3 linked regions of the Arabidopsis thaliana genome follow. The protein of the gene in region 3 interacts with the protein of the main gene of each other region in a pairwise test. Each region holds a gene or a part of one and is shown on either strand. Other genes may lie near its edges. The genes, in order: SUT4, ACA2 and UPS1.

The links.
Region 1: the proteins of UPS1 (region 3) and SUT4 interact in a protein complementation assay, tested with the Arabidopsis thaliana proteins (one large-scale study listed by BioGRID).
Region 2: the proteins of UPS1 (region 3) and ACA2 interact in a protein complementation assay, tested with the Arabidopsis thaliana proteins (one large-scale study listed by BioGRID).

Annotation. Positions count from the first base shown.
Region 1 is NC_003070.9:3,240,737-3,251,655, reverse strand, and holds SUT4 (sucrose transporter 4), read right to left. Parts: upstream 7,671-10,919; 5' UTR 7,399-7,670; coding exon 6,861-7,398; intron 6,498-6,860; coding exon 5,770-6,497; intron 5,634-5,769; coding exon 5,570-5,633; intron 5,442-5,569; coding exon 5,398-5,441; intron 5,097-5,397; coding exon 4,938-5,096; 3' UTR 4,915-4,937; intron 4,829-4,914; 3' UTR 4,440-4,828; downstream 1-4,439. Other genes in the region: RAS1 (RESPONSE TO ABA AND SALT 1), read left to right, coding at 10,115-10,807. UniProt on the Arabidopsis thaliana protein: Responsible for the transport of sucrose into the cell, with the concomitant uptake of protons (symport system). Can also transport maltose at a lesser rate. May also transport biotin.
Region 2 is NC_003075.7:17,679,698-17,691,665, forward strand, and holds ACA2 (calcium ATPase 2), read right to left. Parts: upstream 7,409-11,968; 5' UTR 7,112-7,408; coding exon 6,938-7,111; intron 6,818-6,937; coding exon 6,763-6,817; intron 6,672-6,762; coding exon 4,726-6,671; intron 4,645-4,725; coding exon 4,486-4,644; intron 4,407-4,485; coding exon 4,235-4,406; intron 4,148-4,234; coding exon 3,849-4,147; intron 3,768-3,848; coding exon 3,528-3,767; 3' UTR 3,162-3,527; downstream 1-3,161. Other genes in the region: CYCD5;1 (cyclin d5;1), read left to right, coding at 1-42, 123-209, 294-603, 679-827, 909-1,091. UniProt on the Arabidopsis thaliana protein: This magnesium-dependent enzyme catalyzes the hydrolysis of ATP coupled with the translocation of calcium from the cytosol into the endoplasmic reticulum.
Region 3 is NC_003071.7:1,089,478-1,099,484, reverse strand, and holds UPS1 (ureide permease 1), read right to left. Parts: upstream 4,784-10,007; 5' UTR 4,357-4,783; coding exon 4,129-4,356; intron 4,050-4,128; coding exon 3,911-4,049; intron 3,823-3,910; coding exon 3,669-3,822; intron 3,597-3,668; coding exon 3,473-3,596; intron 3,383-3,472; coding exon 3,008-3,382; intron 2,927-3,007; coding exon 2,774-2,926; 3' UTR 2,509-2,773; downstream 1-2,508. Other genes in the region: AT2G03610 (F-box family protein), read right to left, coding at 239-415; UPS3 (ureide permease 3), read right to left, coding at 852-1,241, 1,333-1,444, 1,526-1,679, 1,756-1,894, 1,964-2,191; AT2G03580 (F-box family protein-like protein), read right to left, coding at 5,004-5,092, 5,198-5,309, 5,752-5,933, 6,170-6,221. UniProt on the Arabidopsis thaliana protein: Proton-coupled transporter that transports a wide spectrum of oxo derivatives of heterocyclic nitrogen compounds, including allantoin, uric acid and xanthine, but not adenine.

The sequences.
Region 1 (10,919 bases), on a different chromosome or scaffold from region 3:
AAACTTAACCAAAAACAAAGAAACCAATCCAAAAAAAATATTAAACTACATTATTAATTTATAGTTGTCTTATATGCAACTACACTACATGGTAGGCTTAGGTAGATGTGGTTTTTATATGCAGCGCTATTTTTGGGGCTATATAATATTTTGTACACGTCCGTCGTAAGTATTAATATACATTTTAATCTGCAGTATACCGCAGGACAATTTATTTTTTTAAGTTAATATATATAAAAATTTATATATTATATCTATCTATAAAATATTTTTATTTTATAGTTTACAATTGTTATTAAGTAACGTCCTGCCAAACTCGTCCCGCAAAAAAAAAAACCATTTATTTTGTTAATGTTGATCTTATTTATGATATGTTTATGAATCATTCTCTAAATATTTTAGTCAAAATGGGACGTTGAACTCACATATTTTTCGCCAATTGGTTAATATATGTTCATTTTTTAAATTTTGAATCACAAAATATGACGGAAAAAAATTTGAGATTTTTAAAAACTCTATATATTATATAATGATGTTAAGATTTTTTGATATATTAAACTTTTTATAAGTTTAAATATTAGTAATGTTAAAAAAATTTAAAATATAAATAATAATATTTAAAAAACTAATAGTTTTTGCCTTTTAGGTAATGACATAATAAATCTAAAAGCAAGGATTTAGAAGATTTAAATCTTTAATTAAATATTTTCATTCCTAAATAATTAATGCCAGTAGCATGAAATTGTAAATAAGTTCAAATACAGGATTTATTTATTTAAACAAAAAACGTTTAGTAAGAATAATATTTATTTAAACAAAAACTTTGTTTTAAATATTGTTAACAAATACGTTTATGCTAATTTTAAAGGATTGATGGGAAGTTTGTTTGGATTAAATTTGATTGATAATGTGATTGACAATTTAAATTAAGAATTTAAAGTAAAATGAATTATTTTGGAAAAAAGATTTAATGCTAATGACATTGAGTTGTAAATAAGTTCAACTCTACGATTTATTTGCTAAAATGTCTGCAAAAATATGTAGATGATTGTGTATTATACTTACGTTTCAATTTAATTGAGCTGTTGATGAGGCATCACTATAAACATGTGTTGAACACTTGCTTTTTATGGCACAAGAGTTGCAACTTGCGACAATATACTTTTTTCCAAAGTTAATTAGGAAGTAGTTATATGTCTTAGCTCTTATCTTAAAACAAAACAAATGGCTATTTTTTTAAAAGGAAATTTTCATTCTAAATCTTTAGTTTGATTACCAAATTAACCAACCTTATATTGTGTGTGTACACATTAGGTAATGCAATAATATATCGACTATAGGACTAATAATTAAATTCTGCCGCTCCATAATTGCCATGTTCAAATTTGTTTGAGGGCTCTTTTTCTCGGTGGACTCTTCTTTTTCCGACATAAAACAATAAAAAAAAAGAATTATCATTAGAGCGTTATTTTTATGTTTATGTTGCGAGTATTCATTTGTCATATTCTGATTAGGTGGAGACATAAATAATTGATTCCACGCCAGAAGACACTAGTGAGTCCAAACAAACACATGTGTTTCAAACCTTTGAAAATCAGTAAGAAAAAACTTTCTTTGCTACTGTGTTTCCCTAGCTTGCTGTTGTAGAGTCTTTTATGATTAGGTGACGTAACTAGAAATAATATATATAGATGGTCTAATTAAGCGTAAAACTAGAATTACTATAATAGATTACTCTTAGGCTATATACTAAAAAGAAAGATCCACAACCATGATAACAATTCGGACAGATATGAAAAAATTTCAATGAATTACACAACCAAAACCTAGTTCAGTGATTTTAAAGAAAAAAATTAAGCCAGAGCAGTTTTCTCATTTGGCTCTAATCATCTTGGTTTATATTATCCTGAAAATCTTAGGGCTTAAAACAAAAATCAAATAAAACGTATATATTTACCGACGATAAGGCGCGATAAAAAATTATCTATATTAATAAATAAAAAAGATTATGACATTTTTTTTTTGGGACAAATTTTAACGTACGCATGGATCATTTAATATATGAAAAAAAAATTTAGACTGTACAAATAAGTAACCACAGCTTCTTCTTTTTTTTTCTCTCTCACGAGTCCACGGTGAAAGAAAATTTGATTGCATGATGTGAAACTATATATTAAGAGATTGATCTTTATTGATAATTTTAACCATACCGTAACTATCAATCGACGAATCTTTGTTTGGTCAATGAATTATTTCGAATATGGAGTCTTCACATTTTACTAGTCAACAAAGCGTTCGAAGCTTCATGGAAAAAGAGGGCAATACTAGAGAACAGACAAGAAAAGAAAAGAAAAAGTTTTTGATGAAATAAGTTATCCAATAATTGAAGCCTAAGAAAAGACAAATCATTCTTTTACTTTTATTTTTATTTTATTTTTGTTATATGATAGTGCAAGTGCATGGACGTGACGATAAAATGTACTTGTCAAAAAATACAGGGTGGACTTCACTTAGCTTTTCTTGTGATATGAAAATCTTGAAAGGTAAAAGCTAATTGCTTTGTTGCATACAAAAAGGCAATTACTTTATTTTCTTTCAGCTAAAGCTAAAAAGGTTAATTAAAGAAGAAGAAAAAACTCTCCACTTATGTAAATCCGAAGGCGACAAGGGATGAATCAAATGGCCTACAGTGAATGCTTTCAACAACCCAATTCTTCATAAAAAGAACACAATCTAAATATAACATAAGGTAGAGAATGGGGATTCATCTTTCTTTCTTCGTCAGAAGGATTTGATCACATTTTACAATAACAAAATATACCAAAATAACCACTTTTCTACACATATTAAAATGATCATATTTTAAATTAAGAAGGGGATTATCTACACATCCAAAATGTACTGCGGGGTTAAAAATCAAGGATCTCATCATATTTTCACTTGCATTCTAACAATCTTAACATCTTGCAATACTAATTACGTACGTTTATGCAATTAATTAACCACGTGAGAATCTCATGCTTCTTTTTTGGTTGTTGTTGAGAATCTCATGTATTTGTTCTTGAAGGTGAAGAGTACTAACCTCAACATCTTCTCTTGAACCATGATCAGTAGTACTCATCATAAAAAAAGAAATTCTTGATAGATACACATCATAAAACTTTAATCTTGAATTTCTTGATCTGTGTTGACCCCCAAAATAAGAAGAAAATACAGTATTACTCTTTCAGAATTTTCTATTTCAACTACTGGTATTAAACTTTAATACCATCTTAATTTATTTATTTCTTAATCTCAAAAGTGTCAACTGTTATACACAAATGAGTGATACTTAAATCAGTATGTTGAGATTTTAGATACACTTTTAAAAAAGGTTATGTGTAGTTGAGAACGTATTAGATTATATCGTAGAGAAGGATAAAAAGCATGCTTAGTAGTAAGTTAGTATAAAAAAAGACTTCAAATTTAATTATACTAGAAAACGAGATTTAAGAATTTTGAAATCGTAGTGCATGCAGCTAGAGACTCTAACCTCGAATTTGTTAATAGAAAAAAGATGATAAGATTTGCCATTCGTCTAGAAGCAGGGAGGTGTGAAAGCCGCCCTAGTTGACTTTGAATATAGAGAGAGTCGGTGACAGACAGAGAGTAAACCACGTTTTTGTCCTTTGTTATATATCACTTCTTAGATATTAGCCAGGGCCTCTCCAAATCCCAACAGACTTTTTAGGTCCCTTGTGCTCCTCCTCCACACGTGTATTCCTTTTTCTAAATTCTTTAGGCATATTACTACTCCACAGCTTATTTTCTTTTTTTCTATTTTCAGTTTAAACCAATTATGATATCTGTTATACATACTCTCACACAATCTCTATTGGACGGTCAAAGTACTTAACTCTGGAATCATTCACAATTTTACAAGGATAAGTATTGCTCAAGCTGTATTAGCATCTACTTATTTCTCTCAATTATTGATACGCTGCCTACAGAATCTCAATAGCATTACAGTAATTTCAATCTCAAACATCTCACTCAAGAAGAAAACTGGGATTTGCTACTATTCCTTCCTACTAGGCTTAGAGCACTTCCAATGGTTTATCTTAGGTGTATCTTAGAATAATATTTTAGAATTAAACTTTGAAAATTAAATCAAAATAAATTAAAAACTAAGATTTGCTTCTTAGCTAAGAAGTTTTCATGAGTGAAAAAAACAGTTACATGTCATGTTTCAAAATTTTAGTATAAATAATTGTTAAGATGTTTGGTTAAGAACCAATTACTTCTTAACCATTGGAGATGGTCTTAATATTCCCAAGAGTCATCCTAATCTATTGCTGACTATTGGTGGTTACTGCTACTATAGAGACTACTAGTACTCGTAATGGTTCCTTTCTACTTTTGCTACACAGATCATGTAAATTTTTTGGATCTCAGGTTTTCTTTATCAAACTAATTCTAAAGAAAATGAACTTTATAAACAGTTACAGAACTCAGGGGCCCTTACAAACACTCTGTTGTACACAGGTTTTTACATTAATTTACAACAACAACAAAAAAAACAGAGAAGATCCCGAACTGGAACTTCCAATAAAGGAGAGATGCATATACCTCACAAACTGAATGATGTATTATTTTCATTGGTTCTATGGTGCCTCGTGTATACAAGGATCATAGTCCCCAAAGTAGAGGGGATTAAGTCCTAGTAGCTGCAAATAAGTTAGTCACACGAGAAGCCATTGCACGAATTTTCGACAAGGATCACATTAAGTGTTCCATCTCCTTGCCATTTCCAAGCACTCCCCTTATGCGTTCCTCGCTTGACACTCATCTATTTCGCATTAGCCGCTTTTAATAATCAGTGACAACTTAAGTGCTTACTATGTACTTTTTGTGAAAGAATTGTGACATTATTACCTTATATAACAAAAGAGAGAATCTCATGGGAGAGGGATGGGCTTCTGAATCCTTGTCCGTGGAAGAGCCAAGATAGCTACAATTCCGCCAATGAAGCCTGTAGCTGCTCCTACTGCAAGTGCCGGTGAATTCCCACCTCCAAACAGTTGATCCCATGGGCCACTGCCAACAGACACAATTACCTGCAAACACATAAATGATTGAACAACAGAATTTGAGTTTGATGCCAAAAACCATAACCAACATAGGGAAGAAATTCATCAATCAACTAATATAGAGAAATAAAAAGTGTACTTTCATCACTGGCCAATGACCATAACTAAAAAAACGAATCGTTTATTAATGACAATTGACAAATAATGCAGTAACTCTGCTGCATGTTATGCTTATAGACTTCCTTTTACAGGCAGAAACATTCAAAGAAGAATATGATTTTGAGTTGCGGCAAATATAATGCTAAAAGGATGGTTGAAAGAAGTGTACCTGTGGGATGACTATCGCCAAATTTAGCACACCCAAAGATAAGCCTGCCACAACAGAACTTTTATAAGAAACAACACTCATATGTAGAGTAAAATCATTGAGCAGAACTTTTCTAAGAAACAACACAACAGAACTTTTATAAGAAACAACACCCAAAGATAAGCCTGCACACCTTGACCTAAGCCCAGGGATTCAATACGTATGGAAATCAACGCATATGGGACGCTGTAAGTTATCTGCAGAAGAGTAGCAATAGCATTAGTTACAGCGAAAGCGTAAATAAATTTCATCATGTTGTTACAGATGAGCAGGCAAAATATCATAAGTAATAGTGTAAGTAACATGACAGCAGAATTACAGGAGTAAACTTACCGCCAATGGAATGCCCAGAATTGTAAAGATTAACACAGCAGCAAACACGATGCTGGCAGGAGGTTGTTCATGGCCAATGTAGCCAAGGTGAGACGCAACAAATGAGGTGATTATCATTCCAAGAAAGCAAATAGCCATTAAGATATTTGATATTCCCCAAACAAAACCAGCCCCCCACTTTCTGCAAAGTTTCTCCATGAGCACAGAAGTGATTCCAAGAAAAACAGAATTCAACATCAAACCAAGTGCACCCATACTGACCCCAGCACTATATGAAGTCCCTATGTTCGGTTCACCGCCATAGATCTCTCGACCCATCCAATCAGTATCAAACAGAATAAATGGAAACCAACCAATCCATGTCAATGCTGTAACAAGCAAGATTATCCAAACATTTCCTGGAAAATATCTGAAAGTTCCAAATATCTCAGAAAGAAAAGCTTCGTCTGTTCCACTGGTTTGCCCATGTGCTTCAGAAGCCAATGAAGCAAGTGGCACCTCATGAGCCGCTGAGACGCTTAGGATCGTAGTTATTGCAATAAAGACAACATCTATGTAGAAGGCAGACTTGAGATTGGCACATTCCACATTACATGCAACTGTCTTCGTAAAAGTGAAGATCTTGTACCAACCATTGTATGATCCAGTAGCATAGCCAAGAACATTGCCAACAGCCATAAAGAGAGAGAAGTAGCCATTTGCAACTCGGGTTCTGCGATTATCATTCTCTGAAAATAAAGCAATAGGACAAGAATTAAAACACAACATATCTTTGTTTTCACTCCATGAGGTTATCACACAATCGTAGGCTACGATTAACTTCACCAAAATCCACAATTTGATTCAAGGGAAAGAGAAAAAACAAAGTCTCTGTGACTCAACGATAAGCCACCGACCAGAAACAAAGAAGGGACCTTTTGATTGTTAGGAACCAATTAGGTAATTATATAACCCCAAATTGTATCCAAAATCACAAATTTATGCATTTTCATGTTTTGCATGTGAGTGTATAATCACGAGAATCCCAAATTTACTACATTTGAATGATTTCAAATTGAAGACCCAATCAACACTAAAGTCAGGAACTTTACCAGTAAGATCAGCAAGGAGAGCTCTACAAGGACCTTGAGTCATATTATTAGCAACATCAAGAATCCAAAACCCTAAAACAAAAGCAACAATCGCCCTCGGCTTAATCTTCCCTTCTCTATCCCCAAATGCCCATCCAATATCCGCCGCATGACCAATAACCATAACAGAGATAGAAATCGCCACAGCTCCGGCGACAATAAACGGTCTCCGACGACCGTACTTACTAGTACACCTATCGCTACTATGCCCAACGAGCGGTTGCACGAACAAACCAGAGAGAGGACCGCAAAGCCAAATCACACTAGCCCAAGCGTGTGGGATCCCCAGCTCTTGAACGTAAGGTGTGAGGAGAGAAAGCTGAAGAGCCCATCCGAATTGAATCCCGCATGCGACGGAAGCTACACGGAGAAGCACACGCTTCGAAACTTTTGATCTAGGAGGAGATACAACGGGACGAGATGAAGAAGTAGAGGGTCGAGCTATTGGTGGACGGTTGCGAGTGACTCTGTGACGGCGATCTTGATCGGAAGTAGCCATTTCTCGCTTCACAGTCGTCGTGGCGTAGAGAGAGTGAAAAAGCTTAAAGTGGAGAGAAAAAGGTGGCGAAGAAGAAGATGTTGTAAGAATTCCATTGGACTAAAGGAATCTACTTTAGGAAAGTTGAGTGCTTTTTGTAAATTGTTTTAAATTTGTTGGGGAAATTGTGTAAATAATGAAAAGTGGGCACGTTAAAAGAGGGTATATAGTGTAAGGTTTGTTGTTTCTCTATGGATAAAATACATATTTTTGTTGAAACGAAATGATTTTGAGGGAGCATTCGTCATTTTCTGTTGGATCACGGGGCAAAAAGTAAGTTCCACTTACGTAAGCTGGAAGAAGAGACGTTGAGTATTCAATAACACTATCAATATGCAGTTTTGTGTTTGGAACAGAAAAAAATGTCATCTTTATTCAAAGAAAGAAGAGGGGGAAAAAAAAAAAAAAAAAAGAGAGAGAGAAAGAGTGTGCTTACGCAATTTTCAAATACATGTTCATCTACATAGACAATTTTCAAATATTCTCTTAATATGTAATTTGGTTGAGTCCGTTGTTTTAACTAATAAATTACTTAATATGGAAATTAGGTCGAAAGGATTGAGCGATCAAAATTGTTGAAATACGAAAATGACGTTATTGTTTGTTAATCAAGCTTGGGCCAATGTGAGCCGTACACGTGCTGCATGATTCAGGTTATACGGTTTAAACGTATAACACGATGGCGCCAATTTACCAAAACGTACTCTAAAATGGCATCTTTTTTATCTTTACTTATAGTCTTTTAGGCCTAATCATGTTTTAATTAGGGTAGGTGAACTGATTTTTATCTTTGTTTTTGCTCAATAGTTTAGTATGCACTTGATTGGGTTGGAATTCAGTTTTGTACCAACATTTCGTTCCCCTTTTTATGTAGTTGCTCACTCGAATCATGTTTAGGTTTATTATGGCGATATGAAATTGTAAGGTTTTGAATAATTGGACTATTTTTTGCGTTCAATTACTCACCGGGTCAAAATAAAGAAAAACGGATGATTCCACCATCATCTAAGGCAAAATGATTTTATTGCAAAAATAAGAAATTGAGAAATTCTCATTGCAAAAATGGCTTATAGAGAAACAAGAAAGGATGATGGCATGCAACTGAAGGCCCTATCCATTGAAGGAAACTCTTGTGGGCTGAACCAATAAGCTAAATAACCCAAATGAGGAAGAACAAAAACCTAAACATGAAGGCCCGTTTCTCCTTTTAATGATTTTATTCGTATAACCGCCTTAAAAAAAAGATTCAAATGAAAACAAAAATGTTTGATTAAAACTTAAAAGGCCGCAAAAGAAACACGGTTTGTGACGAAAACGTGGCCGCGTAAGCAACGAGTTGAAAAGTATCCGCGTCCGTGCGTTGCATAGCCAACTAATGCCCACCAGCTCCAAACATTTTCCAACTCTCTCTTTTTTTTTTTTTTTTTAGTTTTGCAAAACGTGTTTTCTCAGTTATTTGTCGTCACTTCTTTTCATCTAATTTTTTTGTCAAAAAAATTTGTTGCCTCTTTTATCTTTAAAGCTTGTATTGTTTTTTAATACGTACTTTATTTCTCATACGGTAGTTCTGAGAAAATGGTAAAACTGCCAAGCATTTGCAATTTTTGACGAGGAGGAATTTTAAGTAATAGAGAGAAAAATTCTATTCGTTAAATTCTTACAAGAAAAAAAAATCTTATAAGAAATTATATAATTATCTCATCAGGTTTTTAAATGAATTTGAACTCTCAATAAGGTTTACTCTAACGACTGATTTAAATGAACTTATAGTATCAACGTGCATATTCCAATTTTTTTTTTTTTGACATCTTTTCTTTTTTTGTCCGTTATTAGAGTGATGAAAGAATCTGTTGATTGAAATATGGTTGCTCGATCCCCAAGGTTGAAGTTAGAGAAAGATCTTTTCGAAGGAAGTATGAGACAACTACATGGAAAAGAAAAATCTTAAAATAATGTAGAAATTTTCTTAGTAAAGAAGAAAAGATGGCTCGCGGCATAACTGGAGCATTTATGAACTGTTGGTTTATTTGGTTTCTATTTTGTAAGGACATGTTCCTTTCCTGACATATGTCATCTTCTTTACATGACGTGTGCCTTCTTATTTTACCAACATGTGTCGGTTTCCTCTTCAGATGTTATTTTAGGTCATTCCATAATATCGAGATGCGACCCTGACAGATATATAATTCCAACTGGAACTAGTAGTGATAGATACAATTTCAGATATAAACATTTTAATTATAAAACAGACTAAATATTTTAAAGATTTTTAATGAACACTTGTTTTAAAAAAAAAAAAAAATTCTCTAGGTTATAGTCTTTCTTTTTGTCGATTCTATAGGTTATAATCAATAATTACCAAGGATAATTTATATTTTATTTTCATCCATATTAAAATTTTATACTATTGTTTAACCCAACTTGATTCTAAAACCAGAGTTGAATAACAACAGCAAATGATGATAAGACGCTGCTCTGATTACACTTCACTCCGACAAGACAAAAGTCACAAAAATCCATTTCGCCCGCCGACACATCGTCGATAGACCGACATATCGTAAATTAATTCCTAAAAGATTTTTCTTGGTCAAGCCCAATGTAGTAGTATATAAACATTCTTGCACAACGTACACTCACAGTCCATACTTACTTAGTGAGTACTCCAAACATAAGAAACATGCCAAACACTAGCAGCTCTCAAAGCTTCACTATCTTCGTTGATGGTTGGTTAATCCGTCACAGGTATTTCGTTGAACAGCTTATGTGTGCTTCTTCCTTGGATGAAACTAATCGTATCTCTCTCGAAGAACAACAATCTCTCGTGGCCCAGTTTCTATCTCACTGTCTTCAATACTACCAAGAGAAATTCGCCTCCGTTTCCCTCGCCGGGGACAACGTTTTCACTTTCTTCTGCCCACCGTGGTTTAACTCCTACGCTAAACTTATTTTATGGGTCGGCGATTTCAAGCCTTCTCTTGTGTTTAAACTCACCGAGGTCTCCGTGGCCGACCTCACGCGCCACCAGAAAGACCGGATCTCGAGTCTTAAGTCGGAGACTAGGAGGAAAGAGAGAGAAGTTATGCGAGATTTCGCCCTCGTGCAACAAAGCGTGGCGGATCCGCCGGTGATGCTCGCGGCGAGGCGCGTGGGAGCGGTGGGAATGGTGGACGGAGAAGAAACGGATTTGGAGGAGGCGATGGAGGTGCTTAAAGCTGGGATGGCGGCAGCGATGAACAACGCTGATCAGCTACGGTGTTCGACGGTGGGGAAAGTGGTGGAGATTCTTACTCCGCCGCAAGCGATTAAAGTGTTGAGGACAATCGGACAGCTTCACCTCCGTCTGAGAGACAGAGACCAAGAAAGAGCTTAAAAAAAAAGATACTTAATTTGCTTTGCTCTGCTTCTTCAACAACGATGGAGTCATCACTAATTTTTGTTTTTCGGGCTCAACCACTTGATCCTGAGATTTAGATTTCCTTTTG
Region 2 (11,968 bases), on a different chromosome or scaffold from region 3:
TCGTCTTCCGATAGATTGATTGCCATCGATTGGATTCTCACTGTCCGTAATCTCAAAAAGATTTTCCCTTTTTTGATCTTTGTCTTAATCTCTGATTGATTGGTTCTTTGTCTTAATCTCAGACAAGAACAAGATTTGGGTTCCAACATCAAACAGCTTACATTGCAATCTCATACTTCGATCTGTTTCTCCACAAAAGATTCATCGGTGTAAGTTTCAATCTCCAGTTTCATTTATCTATAAAAATCTCACCTTTATCTTCAGATTAAAGCTTAAAGATGGTTTCTTTGTAGTTGCAGAAAGATGAAACATGGGCGATGCGATTGTTATCAGTAGCTTGTTTATCATTAGCTGCTAAAATGGAGGAACGTATTGTTCCTGGTTTATCACAATACCCTCAAGATCATGACTTCGTTTTCAAACCCGATGTCATTCGTAAAACTGAACTGTTGATTCTATCCACATTGGACTGGAAGATGAACTTGATCACTCCTTTTCATTACTTCAACTACTTCCTTGCTAAAATCTCTCAGGACAACCATTCTGTTTCTAAAGACTTGGTGTTGTTAAGATCCTCTGATTCTCTTCTTGCTTTAACTAAAGGTAACTCTATTAAGAAACACATTTTTTTCTCAAGATCAAAGCATTTATTGATATCACATTTTTGTTTCCATGTAGAGATAAGTTTTACGGAGTATCGACAGTTTGTTGTTGCTGCTGTTACTACATTGCTAGCTTCTTCTTCTACCTCATCGGATATTAGATTGACTAGAGAAGAGATAGCTAACAAGTTTGGTTCGATCTCTTGGTGGACTTCTAATGAGAATGTATAAATCTTGGTGTCTTTTTATTCGATTTTGATTGTTTGATGTTGATGATCATAATCTTAGGAGTGTTGGGTTTTGTAGGAAAATGTATATTTGTGTTATCAGAGAACGCTAGAGATTGAGGAGAGGAAACATATGACACCTCCACCGGAAATAGCGGTTTCTCGCGAACCGCCGGCTTCAGGAAGTGGCGCTAAACGCCGATTGTCTTTTGATGATTCTGATCAAAGTTCTCCACCAGCCAAGAGAATGCGTAGGCTATGAAGAGAGAGTTTCTTTCTTCTTCAAGTTTTGGCTTATATTGATTTGGTTTCTTTTTTGGCAACATATTGATTTGGTTTTATATTCAATCATTTGATTATAGAGAAAAAATGGTCTGAATACATCGGTTATTTCAATTTTTATGAAGTAACTCATATAGGTTCTTCGTATGAAGGTCTTTGGATTTCTTGGGGATGAAATGTGACTATTAAAACATTAGGGGCTTCTCTGAGAGAATCTAGGAAATATGAGGAGTGAATGTAAATAAATAAGAAAAACAGAAAGGGTGAATAGTTTTAGGCCAATAGTTGCAGTGCCAGTGATTTGGTTTCACATCCTCTTTTATTTTTTTATTGTCTTATTTTTTTATTTGTTATGTTGCAATTTCTTTTTCATTTGATATTACAAAATTTTGTCATAGATTTTTTTTTTTTTTTGGCATCAAAGTCCATTTTTTTAACCTCTTTAACTTTCAAAAGGGCTCATTCATAGCAAATAATAAATGAAAAAACTCTTTTTAAGGTAAGGTAAAATTATTTTATATTTGATAAATATATTTATTTTCTTATCTTTATTGACACTTTTGGTCATCTCCAAAGTGAATCCATCTGTATGCTACTCAACATGTTATGTCCATTCCACAAAGTCCTTCGTGATCTTTTCATGTTCTCAAATCTCAATATATAATATCTTGGAAAAAAATTAATCAAATAAAAAGAAAATTTTCTTGTTTAGGAAAAATCATCGTTACTTATCTTTGATAGATAACTACTTTTACGAATTGACAATCAGTCGATCACGATAAACTAAAACGGATATATATTTTGCTCCAATAAGTTTTCTTTAGCATTATAGAAACCAACAACTTGTAGTGGAACTGTGGAAGTACTTTGGATCAATGATTGGATCTAAAGATGAAACCCCAATTTATACAGAAATTTGCATGTGATGTTTTTAAGTTAACGTACTATTCTACGCGCAAGTCAAAAGTGCATCGTACTCGTACATATAGAGGTAGATTGTTTTTTTTGTGTGTGTTTATAGGATTATTGTTAATATTTTCAATGAAATGCAGTTGAGAAAAAAAAAAAAAAACATATGTGTAATAGACTGAAGAAACAACAACCCAACGACTTGTTTAAGTGAGAAACAACTGTCTCATACAATACAACTTGGGATCCAAAGTTTTGGTTCCATTAATTAAAGCTTTAATTCCAAAATGATTAGCAACGAATTAAAAGACTTATTACAAACAAAATGCATTCTTACAAATTAAGAAGCATAAAGTACTGACAGAATATAATTAAAGATAATGTGTGTGTGGTTTAAGGCCAATGTTTTGTTGCTCTAAGAGATTATTCAACAAATCAAGAAGCATAAAGGGTCAAGCTTTACTTCACCAAGAACTAGTTAATGCTTCTGAATTTTCTGTTGCCTATCTTTCAATGAATATTAGTATGTCCCAATTGTTATTTTTTTTTTTTGCTTATTATCATTGAGTTAAACCATTTTGTTTCTGTTGGGTTTTGTGTAGACATATGTGAGATTCACGGGTAACACAATTTAGTTACAACTCTCACTTTGGTTAGGAGATGGATAAACTAATGACTAGTGAGATTGAAATATCACAAAAATAACTAATCTTTATGTAAATTCTATTTTCATTCTAGATATTAATTAGTCCTTTATTTATGAACATTTATTCACACGATCACAAACTTAAACAATTAGTTATAGAATATTTTACCGGTCTAATGTTCACATAGAAATTATAATTTACCTATACGCCTACAAGGGACAAATGACTATAGTATACTCATTTTTTCAATCTAAAAAATGGTTTTACTTCATAGAGATCCTAAATTGATAACATTTAAAAATGTTTTTTTCTTTTCTTAAAGAAGAGTCTTTCTTATTTATTACAGTTTTGAGATTGACAGGCTTTGGAATTGTTATATGGAATCAGTTTTGACTGATGAGATATGATGTCAGGAGAAGAGGCTCCCACTAAAAGCCATGACTTCATTGAGAGATTTTCTAAGTATATCAAATTACAGTCTGGCTAGATAACAATTTTGTACCCAAATAATCATTTTTCTTATTTTAACCTTTTGCTTCCTCTGTTTTTTCAATGTCCTTTTTCTGTATTTTTGCATTTGTCATTCAATAGAGACCAAATTTAGATTCCAAAAATGAGAAAAAGAAAGAAAAGAGAAGTGTCATTTCAAAGATACAGAGAGTTTTACAAAAATGGAGGAAATCAGATATTTGTCCTTAATAGCACTAATCAAACTGAAAAATAAAAGTCAAGAATAAAAAACAGAGTCATTGCATAATGCAAAAACTTTGTTAGAAGACTTGTCCGTTCTAAACTTTGAAGTAACTGGTCTAATATAGAGATCTTTAAAGAGTGGTTTCGAGCCAATTTTGATGGAACGATCAAACGGGAATCGTCTTCAGTCCAGCGGCGATTGGCATACCCAAGAAACCTATGAAGATACTGAAGATCCATTGTGTTATTGTGAGTGGTGTTGTGCTTGCAAATGTGCCCAAGAACTCGATGATTATGATCTGAAAGAAAACCGTTGCACCGATCACAACCACAAAGACGTAATTGTCCAGTATTCCTTTGAAAACATCGATCTCTTCCATCTCTCGCGAGCTTATCTCGTTAAACACCTGGAGTTTTCAGAACCAAAGTCATGTCAAGAATCTATCTTTATAGCTCGAGTATTGTTATCAGTAATCTTTGTTCTTTACCTGACAGAAGACGAAGCAGTTGAAGATAAGAGTGTTTAACATGAGAGTTGAGTCAGGACCGTCGAGACCAAACATAGCCTTCCCTTTGGCTTGGAGAATCCAAATTACGATGAATTGGTAAACAGCTTGTCCTAAAATGTTCCTCCACATCGCATTAGTGATGAAATTGCCTCTCCTTCCAACAGGTAAACGCTTCATCAGCTCGTCGTTTGGTGGCTCTGTAGCTAAAGCAAGAGCTCCAAGTGTGTCCATGATCATGTTCACCCACAACAATTGAACAGCAGTTAAAGGAGCACTTCCTGAAGATTATCATAAGAGCTGTGTCAAACAAGGAATCCAAAATGATTCTTTTCGAGACATTGAATTGGTATTCTTACTAAACCTACCGGTTAAACAAGCTGAAGAGAAGTTAACAACCAGTGCAACAACATTAACGGTAAGCTGAAACTGAACGAATTTCTGGATGTTTATGTAAACAGAACGTCCCCATTTAGCAACTGTGACGATCGTGCTGAAGTTATCGTCGAGAATGATGACATCAGCGCTCTCTTTCGCCACCTAAAAGGTTATACAGATAGAAACTTTTAGATTCTTTAGCTCTCACAAATGACATAACAAAATCTTATCATATACTCACTTCAGTTCCAGCAATTCCCATTGCTAGTCCAATATCAGCTTCATGAAGTGCAGGTGCATCATTTGTTCCATCTCCAGTGACAGCAACAACTTCATCAAACGTTGTCCTTAACTGTTTCACAAGTGTATGCTTATCCATTGGTGAAGAACGAGCCATCACCTGTATAAGAACATAGGAAAGGTTATGTTTCAAAAACTAAACAAAAAAAATTAAGTCTTTAGTTCATGAAACAAAAAGCACCTGAATCTTTGGAATCAGTTCTAGTAACTCTTCTTGATTCTTCTCTCTGAATACGGGACCTTCGATGGCTATACCGTCATCAGTTAAAATCCCACATTCTCTAGCAATTGCTTTCGCGGTGTTAATGTTATCTCCTGTAACCATCCTCACAGTGATTCCAGCACGGCGACAAAGCTCAACAGATTCTTTAACTCCAGGACGTACGGGATCTTTGATTCCCACAATCCCTACGCAAGTAAATCCAGAAGCCGGGATTGCATCATCCGGCGAAAACCCGCCTTCAATATCCATATAAGCAAGGCAAAGAGTTCGAAGAGCTTCATTAGCAAACTCGTTGATTGTAACATTCAGATACTTGATTGATTCTTCATCAAGTGGAACAACCTCACCGCTCGAGTTTACAACTTTGTCACAAGCAGCTAAAACAATCTCGGAAGCTCCTTTCGTGTGAGCACGCATACGTCCTCCCTCAGGAAGCTCGATTACAACTCCCATTCGCTTCTTTGTGGAGTTGAAAGGCTCAACTTTGATCACTTTGTAAGACTTCCTCTCTTCTTGGAACTTACCTCCAAGAGATAACCCCAACTCTAATATAGCAGTCTCTGTTGGCGTCCCCAAAAGCTCGGTTTTCCCATGTTTGTTGACAACAACTTCGCCTCCTGTGTTATTGAAAATCGATTGAATCAACAACTTCACCGCAGATTCCGGGATTTCTGATTGCAAGCTAGAACCTTTATTTGCTACATCTTGCACATTCATGCAAATGCAAGACTTCACAACGGTCATGTGATTGGTTGTGAGTGTACCAGTCTTGTCACTGCAAATCGTCGTTGCAGATCCCATAGTCTCACATGCTGCTAAATGCCTCACAAGAGCTTTATCGTTCATCATTTTCTTCATGGCAAACGCAAGACTTAGAGTCACAGCTAAAGGCAATCCTTCAGGAACCGCAACCACAACGATTGTCACAGCAATAGCAAAGTATTCCAAGAGCTCCAATGCTTCATCACCAGACCAGACCCAGTGAGTTCCCGTTGAAAGCTTCCTCATAAACATTCCTTGCACCAGAACCGCGAAAGTAACCACCGCAAAGAAAAGACCAATTTTGCCAATGATGGTAGCAACTCCATTGAGTTTCACCTGCAGTGGAGTTTCATCATCCCCTCCTTCGGTCAAAGTCGCCATTAGCTTTCCCCATTGAGTCCTCATCCCAACTGTAGTAATCATCATCTTACAAGATCCATCTTGCACTTTGGTTCCAGACATAAGGAAAGGATTCTGCGCATTCACCATCACAGGCTCACTTTCACCAGTCAAACTCGATTCATCTATCACCACAGAGAATCCCGAGAGGAAAAGACCATCAGCAGGAACCTGATCTCCAATCGCCAGATGAACAATGTCACCAGGAAGCAAGTCGTAAATCGACAGTTTCTGTCTAAACCCGTTCCTTGTCACCTGAACAGTGATCTTCTTCTTCTCTTTATCCAAATCACGGAACTGCAAAGACTGGCGGTAATCGCTAGTAGCTGTAACAAACACAACCAAGAGAATACTAGCCGCAATGCCAAGACCATCATGTGATCCTTTAGGCCATCCTTCAGTAGCTATCCCAACAATCAAAGACACGAAAGCACAAACACCAAGAATCATAAGAGTCATATCCTGAAGAGCTTCCCATACAAACACCCAGAAACCCCTCATTTCGCTCTCTGCAAACTTGTTGATTCCGAAAAGCTCTTGCCTTTGGGATAACTGAGCAGCCTCAGTAGAAAGGCCATCTGTGGGAGATGCCTTGAGCTTACCTGCAAGCCCATCAACTCCACCATGGAACTTGAGCTTCTTAACATCATGACTTTCAACAATTGATCCTAATTCGTCAGCACAAATCTCAAAGCCAGCAGCTTTGACATCTTCAGGGACAGTGTAGTCACTTGGAGAAACACCTACAACAAAAACTCACATAAACAAACAAACAAACAAACAAAAATCGAAACTTTGACACAAATCAGCAACTTTGATCACATATAAACTCACCAGAGATAAATTGGAAAGCAGCTTTGGAAACAAGAACAGCGATCCTTAATTTCTCCTGTATATAGAAAGTTTTTAAGATCCTTCATCGCTATACACAAAATCCATCTAAAAGTTCGAAGATTTCAACAAAATCATTAACAACGATGACATAGAAGAAAAAGAAAAGAGACAAAACCTGGTTGGTGCGACGCATCGCGGCGGCTTCATAGCGTTTAGAGAGATTAGCGGTGAAACGAAACCGACGTTTAGGGTTCTTAACAACGCCACAGAGATTACGCCATTTCTCAAGCACTTCCTCTGAAGAATGCTTCGCTTTCACATCGAAATTCTCGTTTAGGTAACTCTCCATCTTCTTACTCCCTCTTCTTCTTCAATCTCCTCTGTTTTTTTTGTCTTCCAGCTTCAATGGCTTTTTTGTTTGGCTCTCTGTTTCAAATTCTTCTGTATATTTGGTGGAGAAGAAAAAAGGAACCTTTTTATTTTTTGGTGGGTGAAGAAGAGAAATCGGAAGCTTTTAATGGAGAAGAAAGGTAAAGTTTTTTTTTATTCAAAGATCTGAGTTTTTTTTGCTTAAGCATTTGACCGAGTCGTTGAGTTTATTAACATTTGGTGATGAGAAGCTGAGTTGACTCGTTTTAAATTCGTGTGTCCAACAAAGTTTCTCTTACATTTTTAATAAAAACATTCGACTTATTATTGAAGAGAATAATTAAATAAAGACATGCACTACTTTCCATTTATAACGAACGTTAAATCATTCTTGAAACATTCATGCAGGCCATGACGAGTACATTACGCGTTTATGTTATTATTGTTGAGTTTATGATTGGTTTTTATTCCCAAATTTGTGAATGAATGTGGACATTTTATAATTAAAAAAATTAGAAGATTACAGAAAAAAAAAGGTTTAAAAACTAGTAAAATACTATGGATGAGTAAATGACGTAATTTTTAGATTTACTCAATATAATATATACTGTATAGAAAAAAATGGAATATAATATACAGAGAGTTTTAATTGGACCATATTTTGCAAGATTTTTCTAAGAAGTTTACCTTTCGTAGCTTTGGTTTTTTGTTGTTTGGCTGCTCACGTTGATTTCACTTTGACCAAATTGAATGACAATTGTGGGACAAAAGTGCGGTGATTTTTGACAATAATAAGAAATGGGGTCGTTTATATAAATAAAGAGAAATTGGAGGACCGTTGACCCAGAGACTATTGCAAAAAACCCGACACTTCGGGGACGCCACGTTGGACCAAGCCCATTGGTTCTATTTGGACTCAAAAACATTGATTGCTTTATGTCTTTTTATTATTCGTTTGGTACTAATTGCTTATGTCTCTGTTCATCATTCTAGTTCAATAACTAGTGTTTTTTATTCTTCTCCAATTGAATAATGCGTTTACCTTGACTTCATGGAAAATGACACTTTCAAAAAAGTTGGACATGCAGATTTGGGCTTAGAATGGGCCTTTATAGGCCTTGAAAGCTATTAAGATCTTTCTTTACACGGCTTTGTTTGCTTTATTGGCCTTTAGGGCCTAACAAATTTTGGGCTCTGGTATATGTTTGCTTCTCTAAAATATTTGGGATGCTTTTGAGAAAGAAAAATAAACAATAAAACTGTTAATCATTTTTTTTCTTTAAGCGATTCTGCTGAGTTATGTGTTGGACAGGCATTGGAACAGCTGTGGGATGACGTTGAAGTTGCTCGTGTGGTTGTGGTCTCCGATTGTCACTCTGCCATGGGAAGCTAGTTCGTTACCCCATAAGTTGCCAAGATTCTGTGATCTGCTGGATAAAATTCACAGTTTAGCCATTACCAAAAAAATAAAAAAATCACAGTTTAGCAACGGTTTTGAAGGTTGTAATTTCACTTGGTCGCGGTTCGGACTGATGTCACTGCTCCTGCTATCGCTAAAAGTGTGACTAGGGAAGGAAAAATTCAGTTATATATGGGACTAAGAAAACCAGCTTGGTTTCATATTCAAGTGGTGGACGAAGTTCGTTGATGAGATATTTGTTGTGTTACGAAATCCATTAACCAAATAACATTTTGCAATCATAAAAAGTTGTTTGAAAGAGGTCTAGACGTACGTTGATGACCCATAAATTTGTGTAAATTCACAAATATATATTTTTCGGATGATTCTACACATATCATATCAACCTCCATGATTTTGGTATGCCGTACAATTTTTAAAAAACTTTAGCCGGTGTCACTTATATGTAGTTTTAGTGGGAATAGTCATGTCAAAATTATTATTTTGAGTTAGGTTTGATTGAGTTGGTTCTAATAATGTATGATATTTTCTACATCATTTGCTCTACATTGTTCCGATTTAGATTTTACAAAATGGTACGAAATTGGTCACCTAAAAGTCTGTTTTTTTACCTTTGTGTGATTGATGGGAGACCTACAGGTTTTTTTTGTCTATGGCTTAATTGAAGGATAGTAGAATATTTTTGTAAAAATATTTGATCATTTCATTACTAATCGAAAAAGATAAGTTAACGGTTCATTTCTGGGGCTAAACAATCCTAACCATGGGGAAGATGTTTTCTCCAAGTATATAAATCTTAATTAGCATACAGGCATGCATAACAACCAAATTAGCGAATGAATATGGGTTTATATGCGAGAAACAAATTAGGGTCTACTGTATACATAAACAATGTAATTATGCATTTATGCTATGGCTGTTTGGTGTTGTGTATAAAACATAGTGGCACATATAACCGAAATTATTATCGACTATATATATATATATATATATATATATATATATATATATATATTCTTCAAAAGATTAAGATGGGACTTTTCCTAGAATGCAAGAACAGATTTCGAGAAATTACATAAGAAACTGAATTGCAACACTCGATAGGTTTCGAAGAAAGGGACAAAGAAGCAGAGCGTGGGGTTTCTTCTAATAATTGTAGAAGAAACTGATCATGAGAACATTTGATCTACCAGAGATGGTGATGACTCATAAGATGTAAATATCTACTGCATTATGTCTAGCCTAGGCTATAATGTAGATTTGATCACTTTCTTCATTAATTAGTTTGGAATTTTAGCATGATATAGCATATATCTAAATATGTCCGAAACTTTCCTACATACTAGAAAATATGGAGAGTTATGTAATGTAGGTTTGCTTGTTAATATACAAAATAACATCATCATTTAGTTTTTAGATTTTTTATTTTATTTTTTATAATGGTGCTACGTACGTGGCGATCAAATTATTCCAATTTTGAGACTTCGGGATTTTAAACGAAATTAAACAATGGGCATGAGCTCGGGGGGATAGACAAGATTAATGCTTTGTATCGAGACAAACGAGAAAATCATGATGAGCCTATGCATTAAGTGCCGTTGGTTAATTAGAGGTTCGCATATACATAAACCAGTAGACATATGGATAAATATGAACACACACACCAAAAAAGTGGGAAATCTAAATAAGTGTAGAGAATAATAAGTCCTCAGGTGGGAGATTCAAAGAGAGGACAATGAAGGGTATATAGACTCTAAACAAAAATGGCATGACTTAGTGGAGAGGGTTTTAAATTGAAACAAGTAGGATTGAAGAACAAGAAAACAAAGAAGCATGCCCTAGATTTCTGAGATAATAATTACACATTGCTGTTTATATAAGGTAAGAGAATATGACACATTGGTTGGTTTCTTACGGGTAAATGTGAAGAAAAAAAAATAGTAATATTTGAGAAAATCTAAAATAGTAAAGAGGTATATATGGAGAAGAAGAGAGAAAAGGGAAAAATAGTGGCAGAGAATGGAGAGAGGTTAGGAGGCAAAGGCAAATGTGGAGCTTTGATGATGTTGATGCACGCCGTCAGCTTTTCTTCACGCCTGCTCCCACTCACTCACACCTATGAACATTCTCTCTCTATTTTATAATTATATTCACATGTCTCTATGTTACTATGTAAATGGTGACCACTTAAGTATTTATATATCATGTATATATCTTATAGGTATCATACAAAATGGTCATGAAACTTTTGCAATTTCAATCTACTTGTTCATTGTAGATGCTAGCTTTTCACATGTTTTGAAAATTAGTCTGGATCTGAAATTCTTTAATTAGCATTGTTTTGTTGGTCAACGTTTAATTTCTTGATTATTGATGTCAAAAATTCAGAGCGTTCAGAACTCTTACACTAATTTCTTAAAAATAATCGATTAAGAGAAAATAGAGTTTTCATGCACCAGTGTTGATAGTAACGTAGTCGCGGAATGTCTAAAACGATTATGAGTTTGGTGTTTTGATTGGTTAGAATTGGTATTAGTAGGACATTCTAACTTTTTTGTTAGTCTGTTGATTTAGGATGCGTAAAGAGTCTTTTTATTTTACACCAGTTGAGACTTGGGATCGATAGTACTTGAAACACTTGGTTGGTTTCATGTATTTGGCCTATATATAAACAAACATCGTAATTATATACGGATTTTTTTCGGAATTTTACGCCATATCTGTAAGTATATATAACATGCATGTCGTTTTCAAATTCATATGATGAACGATCCACGTAAGTGCTACTACTCCTACAATATTGCATGAGAGAGATATGTATTTATAAATTTTATTTTGAAGAAGAAATAAGAGGGAAGGTTACTTGGGTGGATCGATGTGAAAACAAAAGAAGAAAAAGCGAAACCCACTAAGCCATTACATGATATCGACCTTCTTATCTTTTTCCTCTTTATTTTATTTTTCTCAGGACTTTTTTCTACTTAATGAAACCTCCAAACTATCTAACTAATACACTCCCATGTAGAATAAAGAAAATTATATAAGATATTGTTGATATTTTGTAACTAGAAAATATATTTGCTCTGTAATTTTTCGTAAGTTAAATCAACATTTTTCAGTAGAAACAAATATTACTGCAAAAAGTAGGATCATTATTTTTGTCCAAAATCTCAGTTAGCTATAGGGTTGTAGTAAAAACAAAACACATTCTTGATTTGCCCCAAAAAATAAAGAGAGAGAAGAATATTGTTCAAAAGTGGTCTCTTCTCTCTCTAATTATGTTTTCACTAAACCCAATTAGATTCAAACAGTCTACAAAGTCCAAAAGATAAACATGGGACAACAATTCGATGCAAAAAATCCTCTTTTCATGCTCTTTTTTTATTCTCTAGTCTTTTAAATTACTAATAAAAACTC
Region 3 (10,007 bases):
GTGTTCCCTACAGCCCTTTCGTCTAATAGATGGAATCTTGATCGTTTTGATCGTTAACAGGTTCAAAATATAGAAATCGAGACCAGAATCTACCAGTAGGAGACAATTCCCGGAGCTAGCCATACAATATCTTCCGTTCAAGCGACGACGGAGGACTCTTGTTTTGAAACTTTCGTCTTCTTTGTGATCAAACAACGTTAAGGTATGTGACCTGCCATGGACGCAGAGACTGACTCACGCATGTTTTCCAAACGGAATACCAATCTGAACAAACGGTTTTTGCTCGATGAAAATCAATAGAGCTCAAGCTTTCCAGGATCGGTCGCAAAAGATCAGGACAAAGCTTGGACCAATCTTGATTTTCAGAAGCTCCTTGTCTCTTCTCTTCTTTCACCAAATCGTTCGGCGTCTCCATGTCTGCGCTTACGTGCCTCACACTCTAGTTGACCTAATGTTTGGATTTAGGGTTAAGAACCACGGAAACCCTAATTAATGCGAGACGTATATATTTATACTGACGATATAACATCAAAACCCATCGATTAAAATTTAACCAATGATATATTTGAACATGTTGCTCACTTTACCTTCATACAAGAGTACCGTATCTTACAAGTTTATAAACCAAAGTTGTGAAGCTTTTAGTCTGTAGATGTTTCTGTGGAATGCATTTTTAGTCATTTTCGATGTCCCGATGAGGCCATCAGAACCGCGACTGCAGCTATGAACATAAATAGCATACTGATAAGAAGTGTATATGTTTTTCTTGATGATCTTTTGTATTCTCCAAACAGCAGTATCCCCCAAAATGTTTATTTTCAATCTTTAAATCATTGAACAGAAAAGAGGTCTTAAACCTGAACAGCTCCTGCAGCAGCATAACCAGCGGCTTGACCGCCCATAAACTGAAGACCATTACCAAATCCACAGAGAAATCCAGCCAAGAAAGACCAGCCTCGACCGTTCCAGTCATTTAGGTAAGCCTTGAAAGATGATCTTGGGAGACCAAGTATAGGCCAATAGAGAAATATGATGTTTAGTATCAGACCAACCCCAAATGAAGAGATGGAGAAGTAGAAGAAGGCTGTGTACACATTGAGTTTTGGAACTCCATGTTTCAAAGTGTGCCAACTCCATGTTTCAAAGTGTGCCATTGATCGTTTGTCGCTAAGCTTACTGCAGGTGAGATTAGAGAGAAACAGATACCGGCAAAGAATGTTATCGCCAGTCCAATTATTGTGCTTTTCCCAAAAACCTGTCAACGCAAATCTTGAGTATCAGTGAATATCAGTTATTTCTGTTTAGGAAAATGCTGTGTGTATTATTATTAACCTTTATGGCTCTTTGTTTCTCAACCTCAATAAGAAAATCTGCAGTCCCTACTTTTGCTTTTCCTTCTTTTATAGAACTTGTTTCCATTTGGAAGGAAGAAGTAGTCTCTAAACTGAAACAAGATCAGATTAGGTTAAAAACCAAACCAAAAGAAAACAAAACAAAGACCTAGTATAGTGAATCTTTTTTTAACCTTTTGAATCCTTGGAGTTTGGATTTGTTATCAGCTGCATTTGATTTATGAACAGCAGAACCGAAACAAACAGCGATCAAGAAACAAGCGACCCCCGGGAAAAGGACCTCAGCTCTGTTGATTCTATCATCCAAGAAATAGTTCAAAGTTGTGCCTGTTGTTGAAAACAAAAGAGTTAATAAGAACAGAGGAAAAAAATCAGTTAAGAGTAGTTGAAGAGAAGAGTTTACCGATAACAACGGCGATACTAGCTGTGATGACTTCAGTGACAGATAACCCAACAAAAGCCCAAGCATATTGTGTTGCTAAGGTCCCAAGGCTAAGAAATATTCCTCCAGCCATTGCAAACATCACAGACGGCCAATTATCCTGTGACAAAAAAACTTTGCATTTCAAAAACCAACAACAAATATGTGTATGAATGTATGTGTAACTGACTTGAGAAAGCTGTGTGGTGAAATTTGGTCTGCTTGGACTTATTTCGCCTAGTGTAAACGCTATGATAACTGCAGCTAACAGGTTTGTCAGTGTGTAGTCAAGATAAGTATGTTGAGGAAGTCTACCGCGTCTTTCGGTTAGAGTCATGATTGCTGGCCATGTCCCTAAGAAGAGCAGAGCCAAGAGCATACAAGTGATTGTTCCTCCTTTGCTCTCTATCACATACATTTTATAAAATCACCAAATCCCACTGCATCAAAGTAAAGAAGTGAGATTCTTCTGTTATCATATCATTGATCTCTCGTGATAAAAATGAAGCTAGTTGTCTTAAGAAAGGTTCTTTAGAACATTAACACAAGACACATGCTGATACAAGAAGATCTCTATAAAACTCAAACCTTATATTCCATTAAATTTCCCTATTGACTAGGTTTCTTGAAAGAGATTACCTTATTAAAGCTTTTGTCTTAACTTTGACTTTGAGGAAGACCAGAGAACAACAGATACAGAAGAAAAAAAACTTAGTCTCTCATTTGATTGGCAGATCCAGATTCAGGAAGAAGTTAGTTTCCCATTTTCTATAAAATAAATAAATCTCAAGTTGCCATAAACTATAGTTTTCTTTCTCTGATGTGTAAACAAAGACAATACAACCAATTGTTGTTAGCAAAGCCCTAAGACAGAAACCAACAAAGAAAACACTTTGGTTAAATATAAACAAAGACTTGAACATGTTGCAGCCATTGGTGAAGTAACTCTTCCTTCAATGGATCCTTTTAGCAGTTTAACTTGAAGAAGTTTCAGTGAATTTCATTTTCTATGTCCCGAGGAAGCCATAAGAACCGCGACAGCGACTATGAACATAAGAAGCATACTGATGAGAAGTGTATATGTTTTTCTTGATGATCTTCTATATTCTCCAAACAACAATATCCCCCAAAATGTACTCACAAGTGGAAGTGCCTGAAACATATTCAAATCATAATAAGTAAAACATATTTCACTCTTAAATCATGGAACAGAGGATTTGTTTATTGTCTAAACCTGAACAGCGTCTGCAGCTGCATAGCCTGCGGCTTGACCACCCATGAACTGAAGACCATTGCCAAATCCACATAGAAATCCAGCCAAGAAAGACCAGCCTCGACCGTTCCAGTCATTCAAATAAGCCTTGAAAGAAGATCTTGGGAGACCAAGTATAGGCCAATAGAGAAATCTGATGTTAAGTATCAGAGCAACTACAAATGCAGAGATGGAGAAGTAGAAGAAGGCAGTGTACACATTTAGTTTTGGAACTCCATGTTTTAATGTGTGCCATTGATCGTTTGTTGCTAAGTTGAATGCAGGTGAGAACAGAGAAAAGCAGATACCGGCAAAGAAAGTTATCACCAATCCGATTATTGTGCTTTTGCCAAAGACCTGTCCTCAATGCCAATCATGAATCTTCAGAGAACATATATACATATCAGTTATATCTGTTAGGGTAAAGGAAGAGTAGTATGTTTCAACCTTTATAGCTCTTTGCTTCTCAAGCTCTATGAGAAAAGCTGCAGTCCCTTCTTTCGCTTTCCCTTTTGTTAACCCGTTGCTTGCAGAAATTGTTTCCATTTCGAAGGAAGAAGTAGTCTCTAAACTGAAACAAGATCAAGATTAGTACCAAACCAAACCAAACGGAAACAACAATAGATATGAATCTTTTTCAAACCTTTTGAAATTTTGGAGTTTGGTTTTGTTATCAGCAGCATTGGATTTATGAACAGCGGAACCGAAACAAACAGCGATCAAGAAACAAGCGACCCCCGGGAAAAGGACCTCAGCTCTGTTGATTCTATCATCCAAGAAATAGTTCAAAGTTGTGCCTGTACTAGAAAACAGAAATGGTCATAAGAACAGAGAAGAAACAGAGGAAAAAATCAGTTAAGAGTAGTTGAAGAAAGAAGAGTGTACCGATAACAACAGTGATACTAGCTGTGATGACTTCAGTAACTGATAAACCAACATAAGCCCAAGCATATTGTGTTGCTAAGTTTCCAAGGCTAAGAACTATTCCTCCAGCCATTGCAAACATCACTGACTGCCAATTATCCTATGATAAAAAAAAAAACCGCGGTTATACAATAGTTTTCGACAAGATGTCTAAGGAGAAGTAAGAAGATGTGACTGACTTGAGAGAGCTGTGTAAAGAAATTTGGTCTGCTCGGACCTATTTCTCCTAGTGTCAACGCTATGATCACTGCAGCTAACAGATTTGTGAGTGTGTAGTCAAGATAAGTGTGTTGAGGAAGTCGACCGCGTCTTTCGGTTAGAGTCATGATTGCTGGCCATGTCCCTAAGAAGAGAAGAGCCAAGAGCATACATGCAATTGCTCCTCCTTTGCTCTCTATCATATACATCTTTCTATCTCTCTTTTATATACTTATAAAAATCATGAAAAAAACTCTGCACCAAACAAGATTCTTTTGGTTATCTGATCTTCGACACACATTAATGATCGATCAAACTCAAATTGAGGATTGTGATCTTTAGACAACCGCAAAGGCAAGGCAAGAGTCAAAATCTATTGGGTTTCTAGAGAAGCAATGAAGAACAGAGAGAGTACTAAAAAGTAAACATCTTTGACTAATAATGAGTTTCTTGAAAGAGATTATTATTACCTTTTGGAAGCTTCTGTTCTAACTCTAACAAAGAACAAAGACAGAACAAGAGAGAACAACTTTTGATTCTTCCCTTTGGGGAGATTCAGAATAATTGCTAGTGGCTCTCATATTATTGGCAGATTCGGATTCCATGAGATATGACACCTTCCTCGATATATTTTTCAAGATAATTTTGTAGTATAAAATAAATAAAATGAATCTCGAGTTGCGTTCCGATTAGGTTCCTAGTTGATCATAAGTCAACGGCTGACACAATCTTGTCTTAAAATCATTATAAAAAAAAAAATTCAAAACAAAAAGGTGAAGTAAAAGTATGTAACAATAATCAATAATCTTGATGTAGTGGCGCAAAGTATACTGATAAAGCTTGCTGTTCTTGTAAGCTAAATCCCCAAACATCGGAGCTGATGTCCCATACTTATCATTCCAGTTCCACCAAGAATCATCTCCTTTCTTGTATGTGAACAAATAACTGTTGTGTAAAGTCCAAGCAATTAAATAATCCACTGTCCTCTCATCTATCCAAGACCAACTGATCTTGTTATTCCCAACATGTGTTTGGACACGCAATACTTACCAAAAGGATGGAGGACGAACCATCCCCACTTGCCTTGTCTATTATAGTATCTGCTTGGCTCGAATCTTATTTTTCCACCGCGAACTGACGACTCCATTGACGGAAGATTGATCTTTAATAAGATTCGAATCAAGACGAGACTTGTTAAAGTTTCAAATCCTTAAACTCTAGAAACTCTAGATCGTAATGATAGAATCGATTACGTAACTACAAAGAGAAGATAAGAATCGTTATGTTTAGATCAACATAGATATAAGCAACCGATGACCAAGAGATCAACATTGATCTCTTCCTCTGGCACATCACAAGGCCAATTCTCTCTCGAGAAATATCACAACATAAAAAGCATAAAATCCCCAGATAAGAACAGAGTCAGTATTTATAGAAGAAGAGTTTCAAGGCCTCTAACTGGAAAGAGTATTTGCCCTCATTTGTTAAGTCAACTCAGTCAACACAGTAGTTGACTTCCTCTTTTCTCTTCTCAGCTTCGCTTAGCCCAATCTTCTCAGCTTCTTTCTCTAGTAGTCGACCTTATAAACCTATCAAGAATCTACCATCAAGAGCCAGTTTCCGGAGCTAGCCATATAATAGCTATTGTCAGAGAGTCCGAGGAGTTTTGTCCCGTAAATCTTGTCTTCACCGGGATCAAACAAACTGGAAGAATCATCATCGTAGTATATGATCCGCCATGGATACAGAGGCCGTTTCACGCATGTTTTCCAAACGAAATACCAATCTGAGCAAACGAGTTTTGCTTGGTGGTAGTCAATAGAGTTCAAGCTTTCAATGATTTTTCGCAAAAGGTCAAGACAAAGCTTGGACCAGTCGTGATGATGAGATACTTTTGGTCAGTTTTCTTCTCTCATCAAATCGTTACGCGCATCCACCTTGATGATCTTTAGGTAAATAAAGATCAATATTTTCATGGTCTTTTGCAAAGATCGCGCGGGACAAATTAAAGTTTGGACCAACCGTGATTATCAAACACTTTTGGTCTTTTCTCTTCTCTCATCGACATATCCATGTCTGCGCCTACTTGCCCTATACGCTAAAGTAACTAAGGTTTTGTTTTAGGGATTAGAACGAACGCCTATTAAGTTTAACTATTTTTATACATTTACATATAAGTAAGGTTCCCTCAAACTCATACCGTAAAAAACTGACAAGTGGTGTTTGATTCATTTGACATATGTCATTCCTCTCAAATTTAAATATACTATTTTTATATTTACTCAATCTAATAATAGTTTTATACTAAACAAATCTATTGAATTATTCTAGTGAATAACTTCCCTGCATATTAGATCTTCTCGATAGCCAGATAGTTGGTGGTCGTATATCAGCTAAAGAGCTTACTTTTGTTGTTGTCTTAATATTTTTGCAATGCTCTTTTTACAATGAGAAATTCCTAAAAATAGCATTAAAACTGGTTTTATGGACAATAATAGCACACATTCCATAAACTTTCAAAAATAGCACTACTTGACTTATTATGAAGTTTTTTTCTAAAAGTATTATCACTAATTTATTTTTTGAATAATATCATAATTTTTATATAAAATCTATTCAACCAAAATAAATTAGAAATAAATTAAAATATTATATTTGGATTCTCTATTTTCAATTTAGGGTATATATTTCAACCATTTAAAAACAAATTGATTCATTTTAATATTAGTTTATGGTATTATATTTGAGTTCCCTATTTCTAATTTAGGGTATATATTTTCACCATTTAAAGGAGATTTTTCATTTTAATATTAGTTTGTGGTATTATATTTGGGTTATCTATTTCTAATTTAGGATATATATTTCTACAATTGTTTTATTCAATTTAATATTAGATTAGTGTTTGCTCTCATTTTTATTTTCAATCTTATATTTTAGTTAAGTTTAATTGAACTTTATCGTGCTATTTGTGAAATCTCAGAAATATTGTGCTAATTTTGGAAAAAAACTCTTTTTTGGTGCTATTTTTGTCAATTGTCTTTTTATAATTAACTAGATAAGGCCCGCCTAAATAGGCGGGTGAGAAAAAAAAAATGCTAATTTTAATTTATGATATATGAGCTCTAAATCGTAGTTAACACACTTTTTATATTTAATATAATATTTAAAAGAAAAAACAAATTTCAATCTTACACATTCTATTTTGCTAATTTTAACTAAAGAAAATATTTATTTTAGGATAGGTGTATCATGAATACGAACATCAGATTTCTCAAAAAATATTATATAGCCAATTACATCGGTATGACAAAACAACATTAAATTTAAATAAATCTATACTTACTTAAAATTTGAAATTTGAAATTCAGTATATGTACCTATAACTGTTGTGTCATATCTTACAATTTTGCAAAATCCTTGTTTTGTTTTGCTAATTTTAACTAAAGAAAATATTTATTTTATGATAGATGTATCATGAATACGAACATCAGATTTATCAAAAATATTTGTTTAATATATAAATTTATAAACATTAAACAACTTATTGAAATTTGAAATTTGAAATTTGAAATTCAGTATATGTATTGTCTAATTGTTGTGTCATATCTTTCCATTTTGCAAAATCCTTGTTTTGATTACACATTTGTTTATAAATTTATCTTCTTTACTTTTGAATCTTTTTTATTATTTAATTATAAGAGACATAGTTTTTTGGGAAATTCTTCAAAATAGCACTAAAACAAGTTTTATGGACAATAATAGCACACACTCCATAAACTTCCAAAAATAGCACTAATTGACTTACTCTAAAGTTTTTGTTCTAAAAATATTATCACTAATTTACTTTTTGAGAAATTCCCACAAATAGCACACTTTTAAGTTTTTTGAAAAAAATAGCATTAAAAAGTTTTTTAGACATAAATAGCACTCAAATAATTATTTGAGAAATTCTTAAAAGTAACACAAAAACAAGTTTTATGGACAATAATAATACCACAATTTTATATAAAAATATATTCAACCAAAATAAATTAGAAATAAATTTAAAATATTATATTTGGGTTCTCTATTTCTAATTTAGGGTATATATTTCCAACTATTTAAAAGAAATTTTGATTCATTTTAATATTAGTTTATGGTATTATATATGGGTTTCCTATTTTCAATTTAGGGTTTATATTTTCAATCATTTTAAAGAGATTTTTCATTTTAAATTAGTTTGTAGTATTATATTTGGGTTTTTTATTTCCAATTTAGGGTATATATTTTCACTATTTAAAAGTTTTTTGATTCAATTTAATATCAGTGTTTGCTCTCATTTTTATTTGGGGGGGGGGGGGGAATTGATACAAATGGTAGTAAAAAAACTTTATTATTTAATTAATTTATAGAGAATTAAAAACTTTTATATGCTTTTTTTGGAAGTTTCAAAAGAAAGTGTCATTTTTGGAATAATAAAGTTTTTTTGTGCCATTTGTGTCAATCTCCCTTTATTTTTTCAATAATACCACAATTTTTATATAAAATATATTCAACCTAAATAATTAAAAATAAATTGAAAATATTATATTTGGGTTCCCTATTTCTACTTTAGGGTATATATTTTCACCATTTAAAAGAGAATTTTCATTTTAGTATTAGTTTGTGGTATTATATTTGGGTTCTCTATTTCCAATTTAGGGTATATATTTCCATTATTTTTAAAAACTTTTGATTCAATTTAATATTAGATTAGTGTTTGCTCTCATTTTTATTATTTTTCTTTTATTATTTAGTTAAGTTTAATTGAATTTATAGTACTATTTGTAAACTTTTAAAAATGTTGTGCTAATTTTGGAAGAAAAACTTCTTTTGGTGCTATTTTTGTCAATTGCCCTAGTTTTTTTTATATTTATCTTCTTTACTTTTTAAAAATAAATTTACTATTTTAAAATTTTCTAACTATATAAAAGGAAAATTTTGTTTGGCACGTGGTAAAATCCGAGATCGTTAGATTTGACACGTGGCACATCTCGTAAGTTACTAAATTTGAAAATCATACTTTATATATTAAGATTCTTTACTTTTTAATAATAAATTTACATATTTTAAAATGTTTTGCTAAATAAAAGAAAAATGTTATTTGGCACATGGATAATCTGAGATCGTTAGATTTGACACGTGGCACATCTCGTAAGTTACTAAATTTGAAAATCATACTTTATATATTAAGATTCTTTACTTTTTAATAATAAATTTACATATTTTAAAATGTTTTGCTAAATAAAAGGAAAATGTTATTTGGCACATGGTAAAATCTGAGATTGTTAGATTTGACACATTGCATGATCTCATGAGTTACTAACTTTGAAAACCATACTTTATAATGAAACTAGATAAATCTCGCCTAAATAGGCGAGTGTTAGATATAAATTTATTCAAATATTTATCGATAATATTAAAAATTTGAATAGTAAATAGTGATCCACCTACTTTTTCTAATATTTAATTAAGTAATTTAACTATCTCTTTCATCATATTAAACTGCCTTTTAATTCTATACTCTCCAACTTATTGATGATATTTGAATTTTAAATAGTAACTCATATTTTTCAGTATTTAATTTAATATTTCTTTAAACTAAATTTCAATCTTACAAATTCGATTTTACAATACAATTTAAATATCTTTTTATCATAATACAATACAATTTAATTCGATTGTATATAATTCAAATACAATCCAATTTTGCAATACAAATACAATTTAATTATATACACTCCATCTTATTGTTAGTTTTCCTTTTTAATTAAGAAAATTATAAGTTAAATTTTTAGATATAGAAATATAAATTAGTATTTTTAAAAGAAACTTTTTTGAC